4 linked regions of the Notamacropus eugenii genome follow. The protein of the gene in region 2 purifies or fractionates together with the protein of the main gene of each other region. This does not show direct contact. Links are inferred from orthologs where the notes say so. Each region holds a gene or a part of one and is shown on either strand. Other genes may lie near its edges. The genes, in order: HNRNPC, FUS, scaffold attachment factor B1-like and SF3B1.

Region 1 (6,974 bases), on a different chromosome or scaffold from region 2:
CACCAGAGTAGCACAAATAGGGGGTTTTGGTTGTTTTGTTTTCTTTCAATAGAGTTCCACCTTGCCCCAAAGCCATTTCTATACCTTGGGCAAAAGAACTTATCACCCAACATTTCCAACATAAAATAAGAATATGACAATACAAAGGCATAACCAAACAACACTGTATCTCAAAAACAAATCCCTAAAAAATTTAACTGAAATAGCCTAGTTATTCAAGAGAATTTTTTAAGGCACTTGTTCAATTACAACTTGTTTTTTTAGGCAATTTCATTTAAAAAACCCCAAACAAAAAGCTTCTAAAAACCAACCTTGCCCTTGGAGAACAGCTGAGAAAATGAATCTCCCTTTATTTTTATCAAAGATATGGGTGCAACTTCATCTACCACTGGTTGTAGCTATAATTGTGAAAACCAATTATATGAACCTTTATCCACTCTTTTTTAAATCCTTTGTTCAAATAATAAAGACCTTTCAAAGACAGACTGTACCTGTAAAAGACTAATTCCAACTTCATTTCAGATAAATGGAGGCTCATCATAACATGACCAAACTCGTACAGCTAGTTAGTGGCTGAGCTGTAACTACAACTTTCTTCTCATCTGCCTCTCAATCCCGCGCTCTTTATTTGTACAACACTGCCTCCCCACGGAATATGTTAATTCCTAACCTTTCCTTCACAGTAAAATACTTCACAAGGAAAAATGTACATGTAACTCTTTTAGTAAATCAAGACCTAAAACTTTCTTTTATTCTTCCAATGTGATACTAGATCTAAAATCTGGTCACATGTCATGCAAACTTCTGTTATAAGCTTTGATTATAACGGCTACACAGAAGAACTATAATCAAGGATTATGTTCTTAAATCTTTTTTTACCTATGACGGAGGTCAACAATCACTAGAAGGAGTAAAATAATGTAAATACTAAATGTTTTTCCACTGCCTTATCTGGAAATGTGGGAGGCTGGCCTCTTTGAACTCTTAAGATCTTTTAAGGTGGCAAAGAAATGTAAAGGATGCGAAAAGGTTGAGCACAATATGCCAGCAACGTACGCACAGCACCTTTCTTTGCTCATTTCTTCCCTTAGCCTGCTATCACAACATTGAAATGCTGCCTCTACCCACCCTACTGTAAAGTGCATCTAGATCTAGGTCTGTGGCCAGTCGCTCACGCTCACAGCAATGTTTAACCTGAATTCTCTTCATTATATGCACTCAGGATGCTGTAAGGATACAAAAATGACCCTCCAGTATTCACATAGTCAGAACTACAGGTCACTTCAAATTTTCCTCTCTTACTAACCATTCTTAACAAGTACACCCAGATTATCAGGTTCCTGCGGAGGATGTTTTGATAAAAGACTTCCTATTGTAACAGTGTAGTCCATGTAATCACAAATGTTTGGGAATCCTTGCCCTCCTCCACTATTTTCTGTGCTAATCTGGTAGAACAAAGGATCCTTTTATTAGCGTCCATAACACGCAGCTGGAAGGCACAGCGGGCACTGCGGGTCCTGAAATCAGGATAATGGGAGTTCAAATTCTGTCTCCGACATCCACTACGTGATCGTCACTTCACCTGCTTCCTACCTGTAAAACGGGACTAACAGCGCCTACCTGCCCTCAATTATAACACATGTGAATCACTTTACAAGCGCTGAGGCGCTACGTAAGTACTAGAGGGCATTCAGCAGAGATGTGCTACCCTGTGCCTAAAAACTAACAGTATGACTTCCCGTGAAGGATTTTCTGGCCCCATTTCCTCTACTGTATTTTACCCTAATTAAAAATTAGAATTGTCCATTTTCAGCTACCATTTTCAAACAGTAAGCTAACCCAAGAACCGTCATGTCGGTCATCTGAGGTCTGGACCATCTCCTGTACACTTTGGACGTGTCCGGCTGCCTGGCGGCGGTCTCTGAAGGAGACTCGGGCAAGCGCTCGGAGGGCCGGCACTCTCACAAACCCTCATCCCTGACCCGTCTAACTTCTCCTCTGGGCCATCCACACCGCGAGCCTGCAGGGCCATACCTACCTCCCAGCCAAGCTTCACTAACTATGACTGTAACCTGCAGATAGAAAGCGGTCAGTCAGCTACGTTAGGGTTAATTATGCTCCCCACAAACGCAATTTAGGGCCAACACTGCCAAAGCCACCTTTTCTGTCGTGGAGGAGAGAAAAAAGAGTGAACGTTAGTATTCTGCAGCCGCCACGGGGACTGGGTGCATGGACGGCACACCACCGGCCAGACGGGTTGGGATCGTTCTCCACGCACACTCGCGACGGCCGCTCGCCGCCCCCCCCAGAACGGAAGGGGCCCGGATGGCGCTGAGCATCTCCAGGGAAACCCGCCCCCTTCCCGATCTTTAATTAGGGACCAGAGCATTGAGTAAGGATCGGCGTCACCACGAGCTCACCCCCCCCCGCCCACATCTCGCGGGCTCCGCCGGGGCCGTGGGCCGTTACCCCAGGGGGAGGGGAGACGGAGGCGGGCGCCGTTACACAGCGGCACATGCTCGCGGGGCCTGCGGAACTATGTCCACCCACCATGGAGTCGAGGCCCATTCGAAGCCTTTCCCCCCAACCCTCAGACTCAAGCCGCGCCAGGAAGTCCGTCTGGGCCGCGCTATTATCATGGAGGGACGCGCTCTGCGCCTCTCCCCCACGTTCCCTTCCCCCGCCCTGCCTTCCCCCAAGGGTCTCAGGGTCTCCCCCGGCTTGACTGTCACCACTCACCCGGTGGGGAGAGGGAGAAAGGGGTGGATTCTGAATCTCCGCCTCCCCGATCCGACAGCGGCAAAGAAACGGACTCCCGCTCCCGCAAGCCTCTTCCACCGCTACTATTACTTCTCCGTCCCCGTCTCCGTCTCCTCACAAAATGGCCCCCGCGTCTCGTCCACCGACACCGCGAAAACCGAGACCTCCGCCCCACTCCTAGAGGCCTTTCTATTGGCTAATGCTGCTCTCCGTCCCTACTCCCGATTAGACCGTTCGACTGCCAGTCACAGCTCTGTCCAATAGGAATCATGGGTAGGTTAGTCAGAATGGCAGTGAGTCCGCACCAGAGGGAGAAACTGGCCTTTCATTGGCTGTAGATGTTGTCATTTGAACTCAAGAAGGTGCTCATTGGTCAACGGAGGAAACGAAGAGGCAACAGAGAGACTCGCCTTTGTATCCGCGCAGGACTTCACATCCGGGTACCACCAGTTTTACAAGCGAGCTCTGATTGGAGGTCGCGGAAGCTCCTCCTGACCCCTTCCCCCTCAGCGCGCGAGTTCGAAGGCCCGCCCCGTTCTCCGAATTCCCGCGGCGCTAACAGACGCCCACGAGAAGCAGGGCCCGAGCTTTTCCCTTTCATTCCCCCTCCCCCGCGCCTCGCGTTGCACCACGTGCGCACGCCTCCCCACCGATGCCCAACCCGAGGTGGCGGGAAGAACCAGAGGGCCGCGTGTGTACGAAGAAGGCCTGGCTGGGGAAGGCCTTCTCCTGTCACCACCGCCACGAGCGCCCCCCGCAGCTCCCCACTCTGCCTTTAACCTGCCATTTCACAGCTGCCGAAGTAATAACATTGCCAGTGCGTCCGCTCAGGGCCCTCCCCCGCATGCCCCTGGTCTCCACGAGGAATCCCAGACGAGGATCCGAGGCCTTTGCCCCGGCCGTACCTCCCTCTGACGTGCCTTCTTGGACCACCCCACCCGCAGGGGCGAGGTGCCAGCACCCCGACTACGGCCCACCCTTCTCCAAAGTTACTGTGCTGAGATACCCAGAGGTTCTGCATGTGATTGGGGGCAGCACTCAAATTATCAATGCCCTCAGGGCAAAGGTCGGGCCTTCTAGACCTTAGCCTGAATGGGCCAGGGTCTCCCGGTGCATCCTGGGCCATCTCCAGTCATCCAGATGGCTCGGGAGGAGAAGCGAGGCTGGTGACTGCACAGCCCTCCCCCACCCAGATCCAAGTCAAGGGCGAGTGATGTCATCCTCTCCCTGCCGTCATCCTCTCCTGCCGTCATCCTCTCCCTGACGTCATCCTCTCCCTGCCGTCATCCTCTCCCTGCCGTCATCCTCTCCCTGACATCATCCTCTCCTGACGTCATCCTCTCCCTGACGTCATCCTCTCCCTGACGTCATCCTCTCCCTGACGTCAGGTGCGTACCACGGGGCACCAGAAGTGCTAGAAGAATCTTGTTAAGAAAAAAACGCGCACACCCCAGGACAAATGTGGGGGGCCGAATAACGTGTTTTCTGTTTTCCGTGAAGCCTCGCTCAGCGCTTGGCCCTGAAGGGCCCCAAGACTGCTTTGTATTCACCTGGGTTCGTCCAAGGACCATCAGTTGTCTCCAGGTGGAGTCTTCTGCCCCTCTCCAAGACCAGCACGGGATCACCTGGCTGCTGAGGTGTGGAGGATGAATGGGGGCACTCCCGCTGATCAAAGCACAGATACCTGGATGTGTGGAAGTCCTTCATGGAAACTGCCACCTTCACACTGATGTCACAGCCAGTGGATGTTTGCTGAGAGCCGCTCTGCGCTCTGTTCTGAGCAGTGGGGATACAAAAGAAGGCAGAAGACGGCTGGTGCTCATGGGAACAACTGTGTACTCACAGGATACAAGCCAAAGAAGTTGGAAATCATCAACACTGGGAGAGCACTAGAGTGAAGGAGGATCAGGAAAGAGTTCTTGCAGAAAGTAGCATTTTAGCTGGGACTTGAAGGAAGCCAGGGAAACCAGGAGGCACCAGGAGGAAGGAAGGAAGTCATCTGAAGCATGGGGAGTTGGCAGATGGCATTTCTTCTGATTAATAAGAAAAGCAGCTAACATGTATGTAGCGCTTACCGGGTACTGTACAAAGCGCTTTACAGATCCTTACAACAACCCCAGGAGTAGGTGCTATTTCCCATTTTACAGAGGGGTAAACTGAGGCAGACAAAGGCTAAGTGACTTGCCCAGGGTCACGTAGCTCATAATATGTGAGGTCTGATTTGAACTCAAGAGTCTTCCTGACTCCAGCTGCATCTATCCGCTGCATCATTTAGCTAGCTATGAAGAATAAAAAATATATGGAAAAGTTTATGAAATAACATCAAGTAAATAGACAAAGCCAGAAGAATGAAAATACCACTTGCTACAACTGTGTAAGAGAAAAAAAAAGAGACTAAATGGACAAAGAATCCTGATTGAATATAGAGCATCCGATTAAAGGGTTAGGACATTTTATAGGTTAAAATTAAAGTAAATATGAACTGTTACCCAGTGTGTTTAATCAGTTATGTTGATATTGAATATCAAGGTTGTAACAAAGGTTTTTATAAAGAAAACTGCCACCTTTATAGAAAATGAAAGAAAAATGTTTTCATAGGATTATAGAAAATTCTTTAGCAATTATTTGATAGAATTGATTATTGATTGTGTTCTAGATACTATAAGGAATCCTAAAGGAAATACCGTAAAAGAGAAGAGTCCTGCCTTCAGTTCAACAAACATTTGTTAAATGTTCATAAAACCGTGGACTTAGACCTGGAAGGAATCTTAAAAGATCATCTAGTTCAATCTCCTCATTTAACATATAAGGAAATTGAGACCAGAGAGATTAAGTAACTTGATGAGGTCACATGGGAAATAAATGTCGGGGTCAACATTCGAACTCAAGTCCTACAGCTCCAAGTTCATTGATTTTTTCATTGTACTTTGCTGCCTATTAATTGTATGGTACTATGCTAGGTGTTAGGAATTCAAGAATGACAACACAAAATCCTGTTCTCAGTGACTGAATAATCTACCATAGTAGTTGGAATAAGATATGTACACAGATAGCTATAATATACATTAGAATATGATTAAGTGTGTAAGAGAGAGGGAAGGATGACTTCCAGCCATTGTAATGAGGGAAACCTCAGAAGAGAAGGTAACACCTGAGCTGGGCTTTGAAGAAGTAGCATTTTTACATCAGAGATATAGAGGGAATCTAGAGCTAGCTATTCTGGCACTCAGGACAAGCAGCAAGAAAAGTTTACTTACATCAATTTGGCAATTAATGTAAAAATAATGAGACGAAAAATTCATTTGTGACGGGAAATTATAACTCATTACAAGGTTCACGTTAATGATACGGTAGCTTATTTTAACTAGTCTTACCAAGTAGAAGTTCAGTCATTTCTACGCTGGTAAAAGTGTACAAGGCTATCAACATGGAAGAAAATTTTAAATTGTATAATCTTTTAAGTTTGTCTTTTTAATATTTTTGTGCCCTCTAAATCAGGGGTTCTGAGTGGAAAGATTTATTGGATTTTTTTTCAATTTTATTTCAATTGTATTTCAATCAGTATTGATCAGGGTGATTCTACAGGGACAATGATTATAAGCAATTATTAAGGATATACTTATCTACTAATAAACATATAGTCAGTTTACCCAACTAATATTAGTATAAGAATAACATATTAATGCATATTTTACAATATAAGGATAAGTAGATAAGATAGATTTTTCTTTTCTGTATAGTAGGCCTCAAACTTTAAAACCTATAAATTCCCTGGTCACTACTTACTTACTAGTTTTAAAATTCGCTTGCATAAGAATGAGGGTATCTGCACCCTGTTTTGTTCAGTTACTGTGACCAAACCGCATGGGTGGGATGCTTTGGCTTGATATAGAAAGTCCTCCAGTTTATTTTTGTACCTGTGGACCACCCTCTCTTGCCCAATGTGAGGAGGAACCCATCTTACGATCACCTAGTAGAAACTATATTAGTTATGTTGTGAACGCAGTTATTGAAATTTTAAAAATAGATTCATAGAACCTATGCTTAGAGCCCTTGTTTTAAATATTGATCACCAGGAACACAGCCCCAGCTTCCTACCCTAGTTACAGCTTTGAGGGAGTCCATGCTAATAAGCTATAGAGCTTGAATATCTAAATACCACACAATGACAAAACTACATACCACTGCCATTTCATGATATAATTATTGAAAAG
Region 2 (7,034 bases):
GTAATCACATAAATGCTTCCCTGTCACATGGAGATATAATCTTTCTCCCCTCTTTGCACCACCTCAGTCTCTAGGGAAGGGAAGAAGTTTAGGTTCATGGATTCCCGTAGAATACAGTTTCTGTTTCAAGTCCACAGCTCCTCTCAGACTGGAGTCCCAGGCATCCTGGTTTCTCAGAGCTTCCATGCTAGCCTGGCTGCCTGCACTACCCTACTTGTAATCCTCACTCCAAGATCTCTATGGCTGGAACTACTGGTCCAGTGGGGCTAAAGATGGAAGAGAAGAGAGTGACCAGCTCAATGTCACCAGTTTTAAAGATGTAGGTAGCCAAGGACTTCCCTAGGGAAATTGGGCCTGCTCAACATCCTTGTTACACCTGATTCAATTATAATGATAATACACAATTTCAGTACTTAAGGGTTTTACAAAGCATTTTCTTTTTTTTTTGCATTTTCTTTTTTATTTTTTCTGTTATATATATTGATATCTTTTCTAAAATTTATTTAAGTTTTCAACATTCATTTCCACAAAATTTTCAGTTCCATATTTTCTCCCCATCTCTCCCCTCCCCCACCTCATAATGCCTTGCATTCTGATTGCCCCTTCCACCAATGTGCCCTCCCTTCTAACACCCCTCCCTTCCCTTATCCCCATCTTCTCTCTTGTCCTGTAGAGCAAGATAAATTTCTATACCGCTTTACCTGTATTTCTTATTTCCCAGTTGCATGCAAAAACAATACACAACATTTGTTCCTAAAACTTTGAGTTCCAACTTCTCTCCCTTCTTCCCTCCCCACCCATCCCCACTGAGAAGGCAATCAATTCAATATAGGCTATATATGTCTAGTTTTGCAAATGACTTCCATAATAGTCATGTTGTGTAAGACTGACTATATTTCCCTCCATTTCTGCCCCTGCCCCCCATTTCTTCTATTCTCTCTTTTGATCTTGTCCCTTCCCAAGAGTGTTTACTTCTAATTGCTCCCTCCTCCCATTTGCCCTCCCTTCCATCATCCCCCTCACCCTGCTTATCCCCTTCTCTCCTACTTTCCTGTAGTATAGGATACAAAGCATTTTCTTTACAAAATGTTATGAGTTAGGCAGTATATTAGCTCCATTGTATAGCTGAGGGAAACAGACATAAAGTCTGATTTGTCCATGGTCCAAGATGGGCCTTGAACTTGAACTGACTCTAAGAGTGCTCTTTATTACAATAGTATGCTGTCTGTCGTCCTTATATAACCTTTAGAGCTCTAGTCTTTGATCAGGTACTTTTGTTGACATATAATTATATGTGTAACATAGATAAACCTGGAATCTATGCTTGTTTTATCTTCCCATTAGATTTTCAAGTTCCTCCAAGGCAAGAATAGTATCCATCTGATCTAATCAGGCTCCACTGATTTTCTTTCTTTTAAAATATTTTTGGTGCTCTTTTTCCCTATTATGACTTTTCCTGCTCCAAAAGAAAACCTTCTTACAACTAAGTATAATCAAGTAGATCACTACATTGGTTTTCTCTAAAGGGTATGCCTCATTCTATACCTATAATCCACTGCCTCTCTCTTTTCTTTGCTGCCTCTTCCACATTTTGGTCAGCAGCCTTCTTACCCTGAAAATACCTCTGTCCCTCTGGTCCTTCATCTGACTGGTGAGGTCTTTCACATGGAGCTAAGTTCTGCTGAGGGACTCTCTGGTCCCTCATACCCCTGGAATGGCAACCTTCTCACTGAGAAGATGCTTCTTCCTCTGGAGCTCCTCTTCTATTCACGATTCCCTTCTCAAGACTAGGAATTCTCCAGACCATCCACAGTTACATCAATTCTATCTTGGCTTAGTGCCTGACCCGCCTGACTTTTCCACCTTAGCCTCACGTAGGGATGTATCCTGTTGGTGCCCCCTTCCCCTATTTCCAACCCCCTTTTTTATGTTATCTTCCCCCTTTAGAATGTAAGCACATTTAGGGTAGGGGCTGCCATTTTGGGGCTTCTATTTTTATTTCCAATGCTTAGTGTAAGTGTTTAACTTTATCTATCTTCTATCTATCTATTCCTTATTAGCCTTCTGAAGTCAAGATTGTTTTATTGATGAGAGAATTCTGAAGTCTTTAAGTGTAATTTATTTATTTTGGTTATTACAGAATTCTTACTTTGTTCTGAATATGTTTTCACATTCTTAAATTTCTTTGAATTCTTCATATTCATCATTTTCAATGGTAAAATAATTTCATTATGTTTAAAAACCACACTTTTTTCAGCCACTTCCAAAACTGACAGGCACGAAATTTGTTTCTGACAAGTACTCCAATAAAACACTCTGTCATATAAATAGGTGGGACCTTTCCCTCTGGTTTTGATCTCGTTGGGGGTATATTTCAGTAGAAGTATTACTGTGTCAAAGGGTATACAGTTAATGATTTTGGGGGTATAATCCCGCATCGTTTGCCAAGTTCATGGGCCAGTTCATGGGCACATCTGCCTTTTCATAGCCCCTTCACCATTCACTATTTTTCTTTTTTCTCGTCTTTGTCAATCTGACAGCTACAATAAAATCAAGGCTATCTTGGACTGGTGAAGGCTGGCCTCCCTGCGGACTTTCCTTTCCTGCCTCCACTTGCAGGTCACCCTCTCTGTGCGTGTTGTGCACTCGAGTGGACACAGTGAAGGAGCAGGTTAGCAAGCACACGATCCTAGAATCCACCCTTGGGTCTTGTGATGTCCGAGCTGAGGAATCCTCAGAGATCATCTGGGCCAGGGTCTGCCTGCAACTAAGAGAGCTAAGAAATCTCGTTTTTTCAAATAAATTCTTTCTCCTTCTCCTTCCCAAACCCCTTGTAACAAAGAATAAAAGAAAACAAGGCTCAGCCCTCTCCCACAAGGGAGGACACATGGGCTCAGGGGGGGCACAGTTCCGCTTCCTCAGGGTACATCTCAAACCAGGCTCAGGTAAGGCTCATCTTTAGGATCTTCCCCACATGTAGATAACGAGCTTTCCTCTAAGAAACATGATCCACGTACAGAGATTATTAAAAGACTATTTCTTTCACCACAGGAAGTGCTTAAGACACGAAAGAACGAACAGGCCCCTGTGGATAGATACAACATCTCAGCCAGCTCAGCCTACCCAAGAAAACGTGCCCTGGAGTCCCAGCGGTTACAGAGCGGGGAACCGTCTGTGCAGGGTCGTCACAGAGGCTGGGAGCGGCGTGGGGGAGGGGAGGGCCTTCGGAACGTGCTCTCCGGCCTGGTCCGCACGAACCTCTTCTCCAGTCTGAATAACGGACACGGCAATAAACCTAAGCCCGTCTGCAGCGTCTGCCAGAGGCCGAGGCGTAAACGCTCACACCGAAAAAGGAACCGCTGGGGCTGGCTCCAGTACACTGCTGCCCGGCAGGGGGCTCCCGGGGGAGGGGGGGGAAGGGGAGCATTACGGCGGGAACTGAGGGGTTACCAGGCTGGATTACGGGGGGAACTGTGTGTGTATGGGGGCCGGAGGCGGGCCAGGCCCCCCGGCCTCCATTGTAACCACAGTGCAGCAGCTCCTCGCCTCCCGCTCCCGGAGGAGGCGACGGGTGGAGGGGAGAGGAGGGGGGGGAGGACTGGCCAACTCCTCCGCTCCAGCCACCGGGCTCCGGAACAGAGCCTGACTTCCTCCCCCTCAATCACCACCAATGGTTCGTTCTCGTACGGCCGTCACCCCTCCCCCTTCACCTCCCCTTCCTTTCTTTTCCTGCCTTTGCTTCAAAGCGTACCATTTTTCTATCCGTAGGGGGAGGCTACAGGTTTTCTGATTAGAATGAAACAATATTACCTCTATGCCCAGCGTAGACAAAATGGGCAAATAAAAAGTTTCCTATAGTCTATATTTTTCATCTCTTTGTGTAGATCACCTCTCAAAATTCCCTAAGTTTGCGTTCGTCCCGTTACATTTCTGCCCGCCCCCATGTCCTAGACTTGGTACAGCCCTCTGCGGTGCGTAGGAGGAGGGGGAGGAGTACATAAGTTTCAGCGCAGGGGGTGGGGTTTTTCAGTCCTCGAGGCGTCGGCGGTCGGCTGCCTTCTATTTTCTGTTGCTCGGCAGCCGGTGTGCGCGTGCGCGGACATGGCCTCCAACGGTAAGAGCTCGTGGGGGAGGTGAGCCGATCCCTGATCGCCTCGCGCGACGGTTGGGTTAGCATTCGGAGCGGCCTGGAGCCCTTTTTGGGGGCCTGGAGTCGGGAGGGAAGGTAGTATGGTTGGATGGGTTGTGGCCGTGTCTGGGAGGAAGGGTCTCATTCTCGCGCGGTCTAGGCGGGAAGTAAGCGGAGGGCGGTAGGCGGGGAGAAGGGAGGCCGCTGTCGCCATCTTGTCCCGTGGTTCTGGCGCGTTAGTGTAGAAGAGCTGACTGGTAGAAGGGCTTTTTTGTGGTATCCTCTTTTTTTGAGAACGAAGCCCCCGGCGGCCTAGGTAGTAGGAGCATAAAGCAGCCGAGGGGAATAACGTTCAGCGCCTTCTCCCGCTGCGAGCTTTTCTCTGCCCGCTTTGTCGCAGTGCCGCATCCGGGCGACTTTGGTGCGCACGCGCGTGGGATCCACGCCCTGCCCGGGAGCGGAGGCCTGATCGGGGTGCGCGCGTCCCTCCCCCCAGGTTCTCAGCATCCCAGATTCTTCCTGGCTCCTCTGTAGACATCCCCCACTCAGCGTTCGCTCTCGCCCCCTTTTCCTGATTCTCTCCCACCTTACGGCCGAGGTTTTGCTCCCAAGGATGGACAGCCTGGCAGTCGGCCGGGAGAGGAGGTTTACCAGGACCCCTTCCCTCCTAGCCCGTTCACTAACGGCCCCGGGAGATCACTTTTGGTGCGTTGGGATTCAGGCCAACCTTCTTATGGAACTCCTTTGTTGAGCTTCTCTCCTTTAGCACTATGAAGGAAGGGTTGGGATTAGCTCTGTCTCCTTGAATGTAATTTCTCTTTATGAGTGGAAAGGGCCGTTTTTTGTTCTGAAAGAATCGGAATTCATGTTCTCTGCCCCAGCCGTCCTTGGGTAAGCAGGGTGATAATTCTGCTTCTGATGGGCATGACCCTTTAGCTTCCCTGGTTGTTGTAATTTGAGCCTTCCTGCAGCCCCGTGAAAAGTAGGGCAGGTAGTCATGACTACGAAGAGATTCAAGCAAGTAAGATTACTTAACCTCTGCCAAAGTCTGAGAAAGGGGCAGAACCCGGACAAAAAAACAAAACAAACGCCACGTTTCTTAATAAGAATGGAGGAAGACATCTGTCTACTTTGGTTATTTGGCTTTCATACTATTCTCCAAAAGAGCCTCAATCCCTTGAACTTAAAAAGGGGTGAGATTTCATGGAAGATGTTTATCTGAGGAGTTCAATACAATGAGACTTCTGGAATACCTCTCTGCTCCATTTCCTGCGAGTCCTTTTTGGGGAGGGAGGACGCCTAAAAAACTGCTTAGCCTTTCTCTGTCTTGGTCTTTATGGTCATATTTCTAACTGTTTGAGTTTTAGTCAGGAAACGTTGGGAATTCATTTTACGAAAATTTTCGTTGACCTTTTTTTGTTGTTTTCACATCCTTTTTATTTCCAAATTATCCTGATCTCATATCTCTACCCCAAACTATTTCTTATAAAAAAGAATAAAAATGGTACCAAAGGCAAGCTGGCAAAACCAATCAAACTCCCTTCCTCCTTGTCTCTCCCCTCCCCATCCCCTTTCAAATAGTAATTATCCTACCATGGATATTCATATCCACATAAACCTACAAAGGAAATTTCGATATATACTCATCTATTTTGGGAGGTATAGCTTGGTATTGTTTCCTGATCCGTTAGCCTTATTTTTAATCAGTTCACATGAATCCTCATGCTTCTCAGAATTCCTCATAGTCTTCATTTTTAGTCCATTTTTCTATGTTTTCACATATACATGAGAGAATGACTTTGGGATGTTTCAATGAATGTGACTTTGTAGACATTGGTGTCTATGGTGTTTTTCTTTAACTTCTTTGGGCTGTGTTTATCATTATCCTTCACGCTGATTTTTTTTTCTTTCTCCAGTCTTTTAGAATGAAAGAAAAATTTTTTTCCAGAAAATCCTCACTTCTATGAACTAGAATATTTAGCTTTATCCTTTTTGTGACACTGCTCCCTCTTTTTAAATTATGCTTTTTTGAGATTAAGCTTTTTGAAGCACATAGGTTTCTGTGTAGGGTTGGTGTATGTACATAAGAGTAATATAATTAAACTTTTTTTTTCCCCTTACAGATTACACTCAACAGGCCACACAAAGGTGAGTATGACATCAAAGGGAATACACTGGTGGCAAGATGTCCCTGTCCCAACTTTCATTTTTTTGATAATTATGTTCTTTTTATAGCTATGGAGCTTACCCTACCCAGCCTGGACAAGGCTATTCCCAACAAAGCAGTCAGCCCTATGGCCAACAGAGCTACAGTGGTTATGGCCAATCAGCTGATACCTCAGGCTATGGTCAGAGCAGCTATGGCTCCTCCTATGGACAAACCCAGAACAGTAAGTATTTGTCATCTTATTCTGGCTACCTTTTTAAAAACTACATTTGGAATCAGGATTTTAGATTTCAAAGGAATTCAGTTTAACAAACATACATTGAGACTTCTGAAATCTCCAAATCCTTTTGTTGCATATCTTCATTTTTTAAAATAAAATCTTTGTCTCATCCCTCCTTAAACCCCAGAATTTAATATGCTAGGACTTCCTTTTACTTTTAAAATGTATTATCCTATTATCCTTTTTTCACACCTCTCTCCCATTAAAAAATGCAAGTGAAAACAGATTTTTATTAGGTGCCCATCTACCCAAGTGGGTAGAGATTAATTTCTTTTAATTTAGATTTGATACTGCTTGAGAGTAAGTGGTTCCACTTTCAAGGAGCTTTTAACTTAGACAGCACTAACTCAGTACTTAAATGTGACACAAAGTGTAACTGACATTTTGAATAAGAGATGCTGCTAGTTGGTAAGATTGCAGAAAATAGGTTGAAATAAGAAGGAACTTAAAGGAATGTT
Region 3 (7,864 bases), on a different chromosome or scaffold from region 2:
GAAACAATCCAAAAATGAAAAGTCCCAGGAATGTCACAGATAAAATTATGAATCCCCACATCAAATTTAAAAAAACAAAACAAAACAAAACACTGCAAGCGTCCTGAAAGAAGCAATTCAAGTACCAAGAAACCAGTCAGGATCACACAAGACCTGGTAGCCTCTACCATAAATGAGAGGAGATCTTGGAAAATTCCAAAAGGCTTACAAAGACTTACAAACAAAAATAACTTACCCTGCAAAGCTGAATATAATCTATAAGGGGGAAAAATGAACTACAGGGGTTTCAAGCCTTTCTGATAGAAAGACCAGAGGTAAGAAATTACTTTGAAATACAAACACAAGAAAAATGCCAATACTACCTAAATTAATTTACTTATTCAACACCAAACCAAACTATCAAAGCATCATTTTGTAAAACTAAAAAAAAAAAAAAACTCCAAAATTTATGTGGAGGATCAATAGGTTTAAGAATCTCAAGGCAATTTTTTAAAAAGTGAAAAGGAAGCCCAGAAGTACCAGATTCTGAAATTTATAAAAAAATCGTTAATCATCAAAACAATTTTACACTCATTTAAAAATAGAGAGGCTGACCAGTGAAACACATATGGCAGACAACATGCCAAAGTAAACTACCTTAATAGCCTTGTGTTGGATAAATCCAAAGACCCTCCCCAGGTACTGGGATAAGGTCTAGTTGACACAAAAGTTCTAAGAAATCTGGATAAGAGTCTAACAAAAATTAGGTTTAGACCAACATCTTAAATCATATATCAAGATAAGCTCCAAATGAATATACAAGTTAGCTATAAAAGGTGACATTACAAACGAATTAGAACAAGGAAAAAAATTACCTTTCAGATCTATGACAAAGGATAGACAATCACGTAAGATAAAATGGACAATTTTGTTTGATTACATAAAACTACACTTTTGCACAAACAAATCCAATGCAACTGAGATTAGAAAGGAAACAGTTAACTGTGGGGGAAAAACCATTGCAACAAATTTTCTCTGATAAAGACCTCATTTATAAAATATATAAGGAATGATTCAAATCTATAATAGCTATCTGCCCACTGATAATAGCCAAAGGATATTAATATGCTATTCTCAAGTTATCTATAGCCATGAGAAAATGCTACATATCATTAATAATTAGAGAAATGCAAATTAAAGAAACTCTGAGGCCCCAGTTCTCACCCATCAGATTAGTAAAGTAGACAAAAAAGTTAACTGACACGTGGGAGGGAAAACAGGAATACCAAAAATACACTATTGATGGAGCAGTGAACTGGTCTAGCTATTCATGAAAGCAATCTGAAATTATGCCAAAAAGTTATTAAATTGCGAATATCCCATCTGACTCAGTTATACCACTATTGGGTCAATACCCCAAAGAGACCAAACAAAGAGAAAAAGGACTCATGTACAAAAATATTTACAGCAGCTTTTTATGTTGTAGGAAAGAACTAATGCAGAGTGAAGTGATACAAATCAGAAGGATAACTTATAAAATAACTGTAACACTGTAAAGACAACAACTTTGAAAGACTTGAGAACTCTATCAATGGGTACCCACAATTCTAGAAGACTCATGATGAAAACATGCTGCCCACCTCCTAACAAAGTGGCGAACAATTTCAGGGTGCAGAAGGAGATCTATATTTCATGGACTCAGCCAATGAAACAATTTTCCCTAACTATTCATATTTGTTCGAAGGGTTGTTTTTCTTTATTTTGCAGTGGAAGGGGGGAGATGGGTAAAGAAAAAAAAATAATGCTTGATAACTGAAATATAAGCTTTGGGAAATACTTATTTTGTTTGGAGAGTTTTAAAAGGGGAAAGAAAAGGTGTAAGAAATATAACAATGGAGAGAGATGGGGGTGAGACATGAGAAGAGTATAAAAACTTGGAGAAAGGAGTGGAGGGAGCAGGTATCTGATGAAGCTCACTCATATGACATGGATAAAGTAGGGCTGAATGTACACACACCATTTGGTGTAGAAATACATCAAACTCAACAGAGAAACAAGCAAAGATGGGGGTAGGGATAGAGGGTTAAGAGGGAAGATAATACCAAGAGGAGAACACCCACAGGGAAACAGACTTTTTGACAGTGAAGTATAGGGGGAAGGAAGGTGGATTAAAAGTATGGGAAAAAAGAACTACAATCTAAGAAGATACCCATCAATGACAGAACAAATTACAGTGTATGAATGTAATGGAACAATATTTCATCATAGGAAATGACAAAAAAGATAAACGCAGAAAATCTTAGGGGTAGTATAAAAAATGTAAAGTGAACAGAACCAGAACAATTCATACAAGGACAACAATACCATAAAAAACAAACAAACAAAAAAAAAACAACTTTGGTCATTGTATTGACTAGAGTTCTTGTCTTTCAATCAGTTTTCCAGTGTACATATACATGAAGAAGTGTTACCTACCTAATGACTCCTGAGGTAAGTGATTCAAAGTACAGGAGGAGGCATAGCTACCATGGTGATCATTTGCTTGACTATTCTTATTTGTAACAAGGATTTTTTCCCCCCTCAGTTTTTAATTGAGGAAAAAGGAGTTGAGCAGATAGGTTGTTAAAAATAATGTCCAAAAACACCCCACAAAACAATGTGGCGACTGAAACAATGTTTAAAATGCACAGGAAGGAACAGAAAAATGCTTAGAAGGAAGCACAAAAAGAACAGTTTTGAAAATAACCAAGTATTTCAGTTTTTTTAAAGCAGCATGGAGATTGTTTCATATACAATTCTCTTATGTTCTTCAAAGCATATAGAAATATTCCCTTTTTAATACTTAAGTTCAGAATAAAAATAAGAAATATAGATCAAAAGAAGAAAAAACAGTACCACCTCAGCTAAAAATGTTACCAAGGAAAGCGATAATAGTAGGATATATTTATATGATACATCTCTGACAGGAAAACTTAAAATTTGTACACAATGTAACAGAAGTGCTCATATCAAAATAATCACAATATGCTAGCCTCCTCAGGTCCATCAGTCCTAAAATGGATCAAAATTTGGGAAGGAAAAGGAACATGAACAGTATTTTTTGATGATCAAAAGTATTTGTTAAGTGTTCTCATAGATATGTTATTTTCATAGGACCCGTTCATTCATATCGACATGCCGACTAAAATGTCTTTCTTCCTACAAAGACTGACCTCTGAGCTTCCTCATTTGAAAATTAGGCAATACAAATTCCACTTTCCCCAACTATCTCAAAGATATGGTTGAGATCAAATGAGATAATACAGGTCAAAGTACTTAATTTTTTATTTAAAAGCCACATGAAGATGAAAACTGTTATGACCATTATCAAGAGTATAATTATTAAAGCAAAGTGGGAGTAAGTACACTGGTTCTGCGATAAGCCCGTGGGCATCTGAAAGCACCTGCTTGGCTCTCTGCCTAGTTCACCTAAGTGCTCACCTAAGCTCACTGTTTAAAAACGTAAAAACCAAAACTACGTTAACCTAACGAAAACAGAAAAGGTGTTCTCTGCCTTCTCCAGTCCACCAAAACCTCTGCCCCGAGCTCGTGCACATACCTTTGATATACCTCTTTGGGATTTTCTTGCTGGCAGCCTCTGATGCAATCTCAATGTCATCAGGATCGCCCCCTTCGTCCTCAATAGCCTATTAAGATATCAGTTTCAGGGGAGCTTGTTAGGTGCATGACGTCATGTGCTTTACTGGTCATAAACTTTCGCTGCAATAAACGCTCAGTTCCCTCACTCTCGTTAGGCTACTCCGGCCGGGCAACAAGCCCAGAAGTCAGGCTCGAGTGAACTTCACTATCACATGGCGACATGGCTCGTACGGCTGGAAGCGCAGCCTTAGGCTTCTGAAGGGGCCCGGACCCAAGCCCAGGCCGGCCATTTCTACGCGCTGCGAGGATTTACCCATTTTGGGAAAGTTTCGCAGACACCAACAGGTTGCTGGAACTTTGTACCGGGGGAGAGGAGGGTGCGGAGCGGGGCCAAAGGTCACAGGGTCGCGGCTCGGGGCAGAATAACCAGAGGACGGCCCGCGGCCGGAGCCAGGACGGGAAGGACTTCCTCTCTCGGCCTCTGCCCCCCGCCGGACACCCCCTTCCCAGGAGCTCGGGGCCGCTCCAGCGCGCCCGTTCCCAAGGTTTTTTCCGGCGGGGTGGGGTGAGCAAGTGGACCAGGGCTGGAGCGGAGGGGAGCGGGCCGCGGAGCAAGGGGTGCCCCGAGCCGAGCCACAGGCGCGCACCTCCCCTTAGCCCAGACTCAAATACGCGTGCGCGGCGACAAGCTAACGCGCTGGTCTCCCTCGCTCCTCCACCCGCCCCCTCCACACCGAGTGCCGGGGCCCCGGATGTGCCCCGGTCCCTCACCTTCTTGAGTCGGTCCATCAGGACGCTCTTGTTGCCGCCGGTATCCAGGTTCCGCTTCCTCAGCTCGGCCCGGAGGTCGATCACTCGCAGATCACTTAGCCGCCGGGTCCCGGTCTCCGAAGAGGCGGAGCCGAGACCCGCCGGGCCAGATCCCGAATCGCCCGCCCCTGACAGAGCCTCTGCCATCCTGGGTGCCCTGTCTTCGCTGCCCACCTCACACACAGCAGTGGCTGCGGCAGTTCCGAACACAAAATGGCGCCGTTTGCGAGAAAAACGCACTAGCCTGCCTCCTTTCCGGTTACGCATGCGCGCCAACCGACTTGGCTTTTTTCCACCACCCCCTCCTCGGAGGGAGTTTGCCCATGCGTGCTGTAGGATCCCACGCAGTCACCCCCGTGATCCACAGTCGTATCCAGGGCTCCTCCCACTCTAACTGGTGCTGCGCATGTGCTCTATTAGTTGAGGGCGGGAGTTTGCTTGGGTTTTGAGCGCCTGCGCATCTAGACAGTGAAGCTCCTTACTTCCCTCCTTCCTGGTGACGGAGGGATTTGGCGCATGCGCCTGGAGGAGGGGGCAGCCTCCCGAAAAAAAAGACCACCTTCTCGGCGCGCGCGCAGTGACGCCACGGGTGGGGGAGGCTGGTGCCGCTCCCTCGCAGGCGGCGCCATTTTGTGTTCCTAGCTGTGGCAGTCGCCCGAATCGTGCGAGTTGGGCAGCGGAGGTAGGACCCTTCGGGATGGCGGAGATTTTGTCAGGCGCAGGCGATTCCAGTTCTGTCACTGCAGGGCTCAGCTCCGCCTCCTCAGAGACCGGGACCCGGCGGTTAAGCGATCTGCGGGTGATTGACCTCCGGGCCGAGCTGAAGAAGCGGAACCTGGATAGCGGCGGCAACAAGAGCGTCTTGATGGACCGACTCAAGAAGGTGGAGCCTTCTGGGGCCTAGTCGTGTGTGAGGGTCGGGAGAACGGATGGGGGAGGGGGGCTGGGGGAGGGGGGGTTGAGAGAGTGGCCGGGTCGCCATAGCCGCGGGCCTCGCCGCGCAGGCGCGCGGGGGGCTGGGCGGGCCCTCGAGCTCCCCCGCCGTCGCGCCCTCCTGGCTGTCCCCGCCCCCGGCCGCAGAGCTCCGCGCGCCCCGCCCCGCACGTCCCGAGGCTGGGCTCCCTGGGTGGATTTCTGGGGGCCGGTGGAACTTGGATGTGGGGGGGATGGGAGGGAGGAGGAGTCACGTCTCGATATCGACTTCCTTGGGTTCCCCAGGAAGGAGAGACGACCTGCGGCTTGTTGGGGTTTTTATCACCGATCTGGGGCGGGATGGCTTGGAGGCAGCTCTAGGGTGCCCAGCTTGGGTTAGTCAGGTTATTATTAAGCCGAGTGCTGTGGGAAGATGGGGGGCGGGGAGAAACGACGAAGTCGGGCTCCTGGAGGAGGGGGGGCTTGAAGAAGGCAGGGGTCATCCCAGGACTTGGGGACAGGGTGAGCAGAGATCCTTGATGGAGGAGAACGTTGGAGGCGATCTAGACGGCCAGGGCCTGCTCGGATTTGGTCTTGGCCTTCCTCCATCCTAGCAATGCATATACTTGGTAGATGACACTTAATAAAATGTTTGTTGAACTGAATCTCATTTTACAGGTGAGGAAATTGAGACCCAGAGAGGTAAAGTAGCTTCCTAAGGTCACACAGCTAGTAAGTAGACCTACAGTATCAACTCTAGTCTTACCTTAGTGCCAAATTGTATACTGCGCTGCCTTGCCTCCAGAGGCTTGAGAGCCCGGATTTTTGTGTACTGTGGACAAAGTGATCCAGTATGGCTGGAGCAGAGAGCTCATAGGAAGGAGTAACTCCGTGAGAGGAAGGAGTGGAGCCAGACACCTTTTATGGTTTCAAGAGCTTTTTTCATACATTGTCTCCTGTCTGTCTTTCAGCCATTCAATGAAAAATCATTTCTGAACCCTTACCATTCCATTGATTAATATAAGCATTAAATGCCACCTAGGTGCCAGATACTGATAGGCACGGGGAATTCAAAAACAAAATAGTCTTTGCGTTCTAGAAGCTTAAATTCTATTGGTGACAGTGAGATACAACATGTACGGAGATAATAGATGACACAAAGTGTTCTGTGCACTGAATAGCCAGTAGGGCTCGCTGGACTTTGAGATTGAGATAATTTCCTCATCTCTGTTTAAGTGGTTTAATAAAAGGGAGACACTGACTTTGCCTTCTATATGTAACAGTTTATGGTGAGAGACAAGTAGTGGGGTGGAACCATCCCAGGAAGGTGAGACAATGTTGTCCTCATTTGAAAAATAAAGAAGCAGAAACTGAAGTCATCCAGTTTACTCTAGGATGAAGGAGGCATCTAAGGTGGGAGATGAAGTAGATAGATAAAAGTTATGTGACAGCTCATTTCAGAAGTTCAAGAAATATTATGCTCTTTACACAAATTAGACCATATCTTACAAACAAAACATCTAGTTAATTTTTTGTGACTTCTTTTTCCTCTTCAAGGTCTTTTATGTAACCTTATTTCACATGAAAAAAATGGGTACAATGCTCCAGCTTTTAAGGTGGGGATGAATTTCCCCACATCTTGTCTCAGGTGCTATCCAGTCAGTCCACCATTCAATTCTTCTTTATGTTGATTTATGTTTTGTTTTTTAAAGTTGGGCCTATTCGGCTGATCCACTTGCTTGCTTCTCAGGAGGAGATATGGATGCTTCAGACTGTTTTCAGTGTAAACCTAGCACTGAGAAAAGTTGATGTTTTCAGTTCATTTCAGTTTGTACTTAAGCATGAGCTAGGCACTGGAGACGCAAAGTCAAATAATGATAGCTTGACACTCATTTAGCACTTTAAAATTTGTAAAGTGCCTTAAATACATCCTCTCCTTTGAGCCTCAAGGAGGTAAATACTGTTGGCATTATTATTCACATTTTACTGATTAAAAAACTTTATCTGGGAGAAATTAAGTCATGTTGGTAAATGTCAGAGATGAGATTTAAACCTCGATGACTCCTGGCTCTTGATTTCAACACTTCTCACTGTGGTATACTTCATCTTCAAAACAAGTCTTTGCCCTCAAGGTTATGCAGTCAACTTTCACTTAGTTTCTAGATTATGATGCACTTAACCCTTTTCCCAAATTCAGTACTACAGGCAGTAAGCTAGTTTTTCCTTCTGTTTAAGTTTTGAATGACTTGAAACTAGCCAATTACAAATTACTATGGTTCCATGATAAATAATATAGTTATCTGCAATTTTACCCATAAAAGAAAAGAAAATAATGAAATGGGATTTCACTGTCATTAAAATTTAGGTGACAAAATCAGATCTCTGCCATAGATTGAACATTTCCCTTATTTTCTACATCACACAATATGAGAGTTGGAAGAGGCCACATCTTTCCCAAGCCCTAAATGAAAGAATTATGTATTATAATATATCTTACAACATGGTTTACCTGGCTCTGGTAGAA
Region 4 (7,670 bases), on a different chromosome or scaffold from region 2:
AGAAAGAAAAGTGAGAGAAGAGAAAGAAGCACCAAGAATAGATGGCCTTATGGAATTTATCCATGAAGAGGAGAATGACAGAGTAACAGTGAGAGGGGATGGATAGTAAGACCAAGTGAAGATTTTTAAGGATGGGAGGGACATGGTCCTCTTTGAAGGCAACAGGAAAAGAGAAAGTGGAGAAGAGAGAGACTGAATATTAAACAGTGGAGATGACAATATAGAGGCAATCTTCTGGGAAGACAGGACATCAGGAGCTCTTAACCCTTTTTGTGTCATGTAGCCCTTTGGCAGTCTGGAGAGAGAACCCTATGGACCCATTCTCAGAATGTTTTTTAAAATTTATCACTGATCAGTTAAGAAAAATCAACAGCCATTTATGAGAGCATATTTTGGCCAAGTACTGTCCTAAGTGCTGGGGATAAAAAGAAAGGCAACTAAACATAAGGGGAAAATAATTTTTCCCCCCATACAGTTTGTGGGCTCTCTGAAATCTATCTATGAAACCAAGGTAAAGAACTCCTAAAGCAGAGAGTGGAGAGAAACATCTGAGTGATATAAGGAGGACACAAAAGGGAGCTCTCAGAAAATGGCTTCAATTACTTTGATAAAGAGGTAAGGTCAAAGGGTAAGAGAATGGGGATGGGGTGTGATGGGAGGATTGAAGAGGGATGAAAAGGTTTGGAATGATTAGGGAGGTAAAAAAGGATTACCCTGCTGCCATGAGGAGCCAGTTGTGATCAGGTAGCATTAATAAACATCAATAAAAGTGATGCACTCAGATGATGGGAATAATCCAAGGCTGGGTTTGGCAAGGTGAAGAGATCGGTAGTAGGGAAACAAAGTTTGGAATGGCATAAAGCTAAATTAGTTCCTCCAAGGAGTTAAGCTAGGAAAGGGACTTAAGTATAGTCAGTGCTGGTACAGTAAGAATACGGGTCATAAGACATAGGAAAAATGGAATAGTAAAATGTTTTTATTACACAAAGGAATTTCAGAGTTCATGAACATGGTTGTGGGTAAAGGCAAAGGATAGGACCATCTCTGCATGAGGTTAAGTAGACTGGAGGGATAGATCATGGAACTGAATAAACTGAAGAACCAGAGTTAATGTGGCATAATGATGGAAAGTGATACCAACGACCAATAAAGGTTATGTCGGTGGGGGAGGAATGTGATTAGGGAGACACACAAGGTACAAACTTCGGGTAAAGCTAGTAATTTTAAGTAAAAAATAAGCTGAACTGACAAATTTTTAATATGTTAGTCTTTTTTATTATACATGTGCACTTCAGGAACTTATTAGACAATATAATCTCTGAACACTAATATCACAAAAACCAAAAGGCCGTTTTTGATGACCCTAGCAGTAGGGGGGCAGCCAAGTTGCTTAAGTAGATCATGAAAATACACTCAAAAAAACTACTTCACATTAATGGTTTCACCATCCTACCCACCAAATCATTTAAAGGAGCTCTGAAAACTAAGCAAAACTGACTGCTCTGAATTTAATTTCTGTTTCTGTCCATGGCCACCTTAAACATCTTAATAAAGAACACTTTTAAAAAGCAAACCATAAACAACAGCGACAAGACCAAACCATCCAACACAAATAAGAATCGAGGCTCTATCTCTAAGTTTTCTAAAATAGTAAAGATTTTTTTTGGATCTTCTTATTACCCAGTGAGTTAGCCACCCATTCCAACTTTGTGTCATCTACAAATTTAATGAAAATTTGTGTTCGTTTATTCTTTCTTCTGACAAGCGATTATGATGAAGTGCCTGAAACAGCTTCCTAACCCGACCTCTGTGTACCAATATTCAAGTGGAGCAACAATAGTTTTCACAAACAAGAAAAACGCCACCAGTTAAGGTTTTTAAACAGTATGGGAGATAGAACTACATAAGATTTTTAAAAAGTGTCTAGCTACAAGTTTTAATTTCGGATTCTCAGGCTTAACATTCTTTGGAAGTCTCTTGTGACTACTAAAATTGGATAACCCAAAATGGGGTTCCACGTTCAAGTCAAGGCTAAGCGCTTACTACGTGCCAGCCACTGTATTAAGTACTGGGTATACAAAGAAATCCACTTCCCTGGTCAGAAAATAACGGAGTGGGGACATGGTTAGTAAATTAAAATACTACTCATTTGCTAACACAATCCTCCCCACGTTAAAACAATTTTAAAATAAAAATATCTAAGCTTTTTATATTAATGAAACCACCTCCCTTCTCCCCTTCCCTCACGTCAAACAGCATCTTTCCTAATTTAAAAAGAATAACGGAGCGGGGGAGGAGGGGAGGTTAGGGAATAAGAACGTTTCCAAATCGCTTCACCCAGAGAAATCTAAATATTAAACCGGATTAGTATTAAAAAGCACATGAGTCAAAGGCGCCGAGGGCCCGGCATGTGGCTCCACAGGGCCAAGGAGTAACGGGCCTCGGAGGAGTCTCCCCGCGGAGTCCCTCCCTGTCTCGTCCGAGCATAACACCACCAGGCCGGGGGTTAGGAAGAGCAGCGCACGGGCCTTCGCCCCGCACTCCACTGAGGAGATTTCGCGACCGCTTTCTCCGCGGCTTTATCCTCTGGGCTCCCAAGAAGCCCATCGGGCCCACGAGGAAAGCCAAGGGGAAGCGTCGGCCCGAAGCACAAAACAAAGCGCTGTCGGGGGAGGGGGCGGGAGGGTGGGACGCCATTACATTGTACCGCGGCCTGCGCCGCCGCCCAATCGACCCCGAACCCCGCAGGAGCCGGCTGGGCTCCTCGACCCCAAAGAAGAGAGAAACAAGGAGACGAGGGGAAGATGGAACCGCGGAAACCTGAGAGAAGAGAAAAGGCGATCGAGCAAGGACAGGGAAACATTCCTTACCTTCGTGAGTTTTGGCGATCTTCGCCATTTTGTCCACTCGAACACACAGACGGAACTGGTACGTCCCAGAACTTCCGCTCGTGGCCGCCGCCACCGAGAAAAATAGCGGGGGAGGGGAGGCGGTGCTTCGGCGCAGGCGCCAAAAGAGGAGTGCGCGCAAATGTGTCACGTGACAGGAGAACCACTAAGAGGGGAGCGGCCCGGTGCATTGTGGGTGTGGGAGGGGCAGGGAGCCCGGAGGTCGGTCCTAGGTTGGTTTCAGAAGTGATTGAAGTCGGCTGCCATGTAACATCCTTGTGATTAGAAAGGCTTTTATGCGGAAGAAAGGTCGGCCTTGTGGCGTTACGTAATGAGGAGCAGCCTGGGTAAGGTCCTAACGAAGCCATTCTGCATAATTCTCTCTCCATCCCGGGTATCTGCTCCCTCCCGAGAGCCTGTAGGAAAGGAGCTTGCCTGTCCTGAGCTGGACTCCCTGCGGTGCTTAACCCGGGGTACCCCGTCTTCGGTGGGGCAAAGACTGCCGGTCTCGGCTTTAGAAGTCTGAGTGCAGATCCTGCCCCTGACACTGCTCGGGACTAGGCGCTGAGCCGCTTAAAGCCTCCGTTTCTGTTTTTTGTTGGTCGAGAAGTCTGAACTCGATAAACCTGAAGATCCATCCGAGTTCTAAATCTATAATCCTACTTGATTAAATCAGTCTAACCTTCAGATGCCCCAAGCCACCCATTCGGAGTATTATATGAAAGAGTTTCTGATCTGCAACCTCAAGATGAGGTTAGGAAGTTCTCTGTGTCTTACACTCAGCCTTTCCGCTACAATTTGAAAATTCAGAAAGAAAACACTGTATCAAACTCCTTTTATGCCTAAACTCGGGAGATAAAGCAAAAAAAAAAAAAACCAAACTATAAGCCATTATCATTAGTGATACCGATATAAAAAGTTTTAAAGTAAAATCCTAACAAAAAGATGATCAAGAAATGCAAAAAAATTATCCCATAGTGCCAGAACTACTCTAGACAGATATGAGGGGAACAAACTTTAATTTCCTTATTCTTGGACGCTATACCTCCATTAACGAAGTCCAGGCACACTGCCTCTTTTGGCAGCAATATTTTGGCTGCTGTTTCATACTGAGGTTGTGGTTCACTACAGTTCTCAGATATTTCCCCCCAAAAAACTGCTGATTCCCCTACCTTGTACTTGCAAAGTTGCCTTTTTTTGTGCTCAAGTAAAAGACTTTACATTTATCCCTATCAAATTTTACATTATTAAATTACACACAATGGTCTAGCTTGTCAAGATCTTTCTGGATCCTAACTGTTTTCCAGTATGGTGTTAACTCTTCCTAGCTCTATATTATCTAAAAATTGAATTACATTTCATCAATGGCTTTATCTGAATCATTGATAAAATGTTAAATAGCACTAAGCCAAACACTGATCCCTGGGTCCTTGGCTCTAGAGATCTCTTGTCACGTTGACATTGAATCGTTAACAACTACTCTTCAAGTTCAGTAGGAACCGGTAGTTGAGTAAAAACACCTTACTGAACCAGAAATGATGCTGAAGATATGTAAGTAGAATAAAATGCCCCTTTTGTAAGAACCCACATAGATTAGTCAGTCAATCAACATTTATTAACCATTTATTATTATTATAACAGTTAACATTTATTAACTGTGGAGATTGTAGTTTGTCCTTAATTTTTGAAGAGGACCAGTGACATCATGGGGGATGTCTTGACTTGCGCCTGAATTGGATTTAAGCAAGGCAGAGTTGCACAAAGTCTTCAGCCTCACTCTTTTTACCAGAGTCATCAAAGTCCATTGGCAAGATAAAAGTCAAGGCAACTGACTTTTATCTGGATACAGTGAATGACATCAGTGTTGTCAATGTCTGACCAAGCTCAGAGTGCTCCATAACTTGCTTTAGCTGTCTTCATGGCCTTTCGAACAAATTGTTCTCATCCAACCCTTCTACTGGGGGAAGTCTTCGCATGCTTGGGGTAGACAACCTGTAATGTTACTTAGATCTTCCCTGCCCATTAATAGGCCTCAAGTACCTTTTGTTAATTTCTGTTGAGGCACTGGGTCAGAGGGTCCTGTCCTCCAGGTCTGAAAAGTGTATAAATACTGAGGTGAGGTTTAACTTTGGGACTTACTCATTAGAAGTGTTTATTTGGCCAGACAAGAGCTTTGAAAACCTAGATGTTGGTGCTTCTCCCTCTGGTGACTATGTTTGTGTATGTATGTTCAGACAGTTGGATCTGTGATGTATATATTGTTTATGGTCAGATCTGAGGAAGCCCTGTCTGTTGGTTGATCTTTGTTTCTCTGTTTGTATTTTCTCTGAAGTTCAGGGTGCTGACTTTTCCCCTTGACCTAAGTAAATGATAATATGTGCTTGATTAAAGTGATTGTTGACCCCTCAAAAGTTGCTTTCCTTTTAAAAAAGCAGAACTAAGAACCTGTACAGCAGGCCCTCCTGTGTATGTCAGGGTCCTTGCTGTTACACCCTACCTAACTACCCACCTAACTCACCAATGAGTTTATGGCCCTACAGTTACCCTCAATCTGGTTTAGTCCGTCTGCTGAGATAGTTTATAAGGGTGTGGCCAATGCTTGTGCTACAGTTTCTTGAAGTCATGGGTGAAAATTGAGAACCAAGTGGACACCAAGGTGGATGGAGCAGCCCTGATGAAAGCTCAGCAAGCCCTCACACCTGAAGTGTTAATGTTCCATACAACCCTATGTGGAGATACAAAGAAAGGCAAAAGACAGTTAAGGATCTCAGTCATTGGGGGAGAGAACATGCAAACAACTACATACAAATAAACTATATACAAGATAAATTGGAAATAATCAACAGAAGGGAAGCACTAGATTTAAGGGTTAGTGAGAAAAGAAAGCTCTCATGGTTTAAAATGGTACCAGACCATTAACAACTACTCCTAGATTCTGGCCATGCAACTAGTTCTCACTGATTGAATCTAAAAATTTAAATAATAGGAAATATAATAAAGAATTGGTTTTTCTTTTTTAAAAAAATCTTTTAAATGTGATAACATCTTTTAAATCTTCTTAATCTGAATTTGAGAAGCGTCAACAAATATGAATATTTCCTTATACAAGGAATAACAGAAGGATTGTCCACAAAACCTCCCATCTCTATTAAATATAGCTTCCATTTCCTCTATGTTAATTCCAAAGCTATACTTATCTGCATCTCCTTCTGAACCTCCTGTTTCTTTTTTCTTTTTTAAATATTACATTGACTTCTTTCTTTGGCTTCTCTCTATTTAAACTCTCTCAATTCCCCTTCTCTCTTAAAAAAAAACAACTTTGTAACTAACAAGCACAGCAAAAGAATATATATGTATATATGCACACACACATATATATACATATACACACATATTATGTATGTTTTACTTTTCTGCTTACTTCACTCTGCATCAGCATATGTTTTTTCGGGTTTCTCTGAATCCATCCCTTTTACAACTTTTTACAATGCAGGGATATTCCATTACATTAGTAGACATATATTCAGCCATTCCCCAAATGATGGGCGCTCATTTTATTTCCAGGTGTTTACTATCACAAAAGTATTTTAGAATTGGTTCTTCCAAAAAGCTAATAAAACAGATAAACTGTTGGCAACTTTAAAAGGGAGAAGAAAACTTTTTTGCCATGATAAAAAAAAAATGGGGAAAAAAAAGACTTTATAGTGAATGAAGAGGAAAAAATTATCAGAAACCATATTGCTAAATTATATGCTAACAGATAACTAATAAATTGGACAACTCTATACAAAAATATAAAATACACAGATTAGCCATGTAAGAAATGCAAATTTAAATAATCTAATGAGGGGGGAGAAATTTGAAAAGTCACAAAGGAACTTCTAAAGGAAAAAATACTAGGATTATATAGTATTGTAAGTGAATTCTATCAAACATTCAAACAACTATATTCTATAAATTGTTTGCAGAAATCAGACAAGATGGCATCCCAACAATCCCTTCTGTTAATAGGATCTTGCTGTCAAAAGTAGGAAGAGATTAAAACAGAGAAATAAATGTATAAACCAAAATATCTAATGAATATTGATGCAAAAATATTCAGTAAAATGTTAGCCAAGAGGCTGTAACCTATTAAAAGTACTATGCATTATGGCTAGGTTGAAGTTATACCAAGAATGCAAGATTGGTTCAAAATCAGGAAAACTATAAACATAATACACTATATTAGTAACAAAAATGTTTTTGAATACATGATATTATAGACACAGAAAAAAACGTTTTAAGAAAATACGATCTTTTTTGTTAAAAGTATCCAAAAGCAAAAGAATAAATGGACTATTCTTTATTGAAGTAAAAAGTATCTTTCTAAAACCAAAAGTAAGCATTATCTATAATAGAGAAATACTAGAAGCCTTTCCAATAAGATTAGGATAAAGCAAGAATATCTACTGCATTATCACCACTATAATTTGACCTAGTTCTATAAATTTTAGCTATAGCAATAAGACAACATAAAGAAATTAAAGAAATAAACATAAGCAAAGAGAGATGATACAGTTTAATAAAGAGCCCTAATTATTCAGCTAAAGATAACTGAAACAATAGTTTCATTAAAGCAAAAGGTTATAAAATAAAGCCACAAAAATTATCAGCCTTTATACTACCAATAAAATCCATCAGGAAAAGATAGAAAAGGAAATTCCTTTCAAAATAACTGTGCAACACATAAGAAAGAAACACATGGGAATGATATGTATGCAGTTATAAAACACCACAGAAATA

Evidence for each region.
Region 1: the proteins of FUS (region 2) and HNRNPC purify together in Homo sapiens (affinity purification with mass spectrometry; 3 studies listed by BioGRID and IntAct, with this or other methods). This does not show direct contact. The link is inferred for Notamacropus eugenii from reciprocal best matches to the Homo sapiens genes FUS and HNRNPC.
Region 3: the proteins of FUS (region 2) and scaffold attachment factor B1-like purify together in Homo sapiens (affinity purification with mass spectrometry; 3 studies listed by BioGRID and IntAct, with this or other methods). This does not show direct contact. The link is inferred for Notamacropus eugenii from reciprocal best matches to the Homo sapiens genes FUS and SAFB.
Region 4: the proteins of FUS (region 2) and SF3B1 purify together in Homo sapiens (affinity purification with mass spectrometry; 3 studies listed by BioGRID and IntAct, with this or other methods). This does not show direct contact. The link is inferred for Notamacropus eugenii from reciprocal best matches to the Homo sapiens genes FUS and SF3B1.

What each region holds. Positions count from the first base shown.
Region 1 is NC_092878.1:12,640,046-12,647,019, reverse strand, and holds the start of HNRNPC (heterogeneous nuclear ribonucleoproteins C1/C2), read right to left. Parts: upstream 3,001-6,974; 5' UTR 2,740-3,000; intron 1-2,739. UniProt on the Homo sapiens protein: Binds pre-mRNA and nucleates the assembly of 40S hnRNP particles. Interacts with poly-U tracts in the 3'-UTR or 5'-UTR of mRNA and modulates the stability and the level of translation of bound mRNA molecules. Single HNRNPC tetramers bind 230-240 nucleotides.
Region 2 is NC_092874.1:377,559,243-377,566,276, reverse strand, and holds the start of FUS (RNA-binding protein FUS), read left to right. Parts: upstream 1-4,022; 5' UTR 4,023-4,101; coding exon 4,102-4,114; intron 4,115-6,252; coding exon 6,253-6,277; intron 6,278-6,364; coding exon 6,365-6,519; intron 6,520-7,034. UniProt on the Homo sapiens protein: DNA/RNA-binding protein that plays a role in various cellular processes such as transcription regulation, RNA splicing, RNA transport, DNA repair and damage response. Binds to ssRNA containing the consensus sequence 5'-AGGUAA-3'.
Region 3 is NC_092875.1:73,567,769-73,575,632, forward strand, and holds the start of scaffold attachment factor B1-like, read left to right. Parts: upstream 1-4,864; 5' UTR 4,865-5,125; coding exon 5,126-5,311; intron 5,312-7,864. Other genes in the region: SAFB2 (scaffold attachment factor B2), read right to left, coding at 3,578-3,665, 4,390-4,695. UniProt on the Homo sapiens protein: Binds to scaffold/matrix attachment region (S/MAR) DNA and forms a molecular assembly point to allow the formation of a 'transcriptosomal' complex (consisting of SR proteins and RNA polymerase II) coupling transcription and RNA processing.
Region 4 is NC_092876.1:267,769,024-267,776,693, forward strand, and holds the start of SF3B1 (splicing factor 3B subunit 1), read right to left. Parts: upstream 3,017-7,670; 5' UTR 2,899-3,016; coding exon 2,871-2,898; intron 1-2,870. UniProt on the Homo sapiens protein: Component of the 17S U2 SnRNP complex of the spliceosome, a large ribonucleoprotein complex that removes introns from transcribed pre-mRNAs.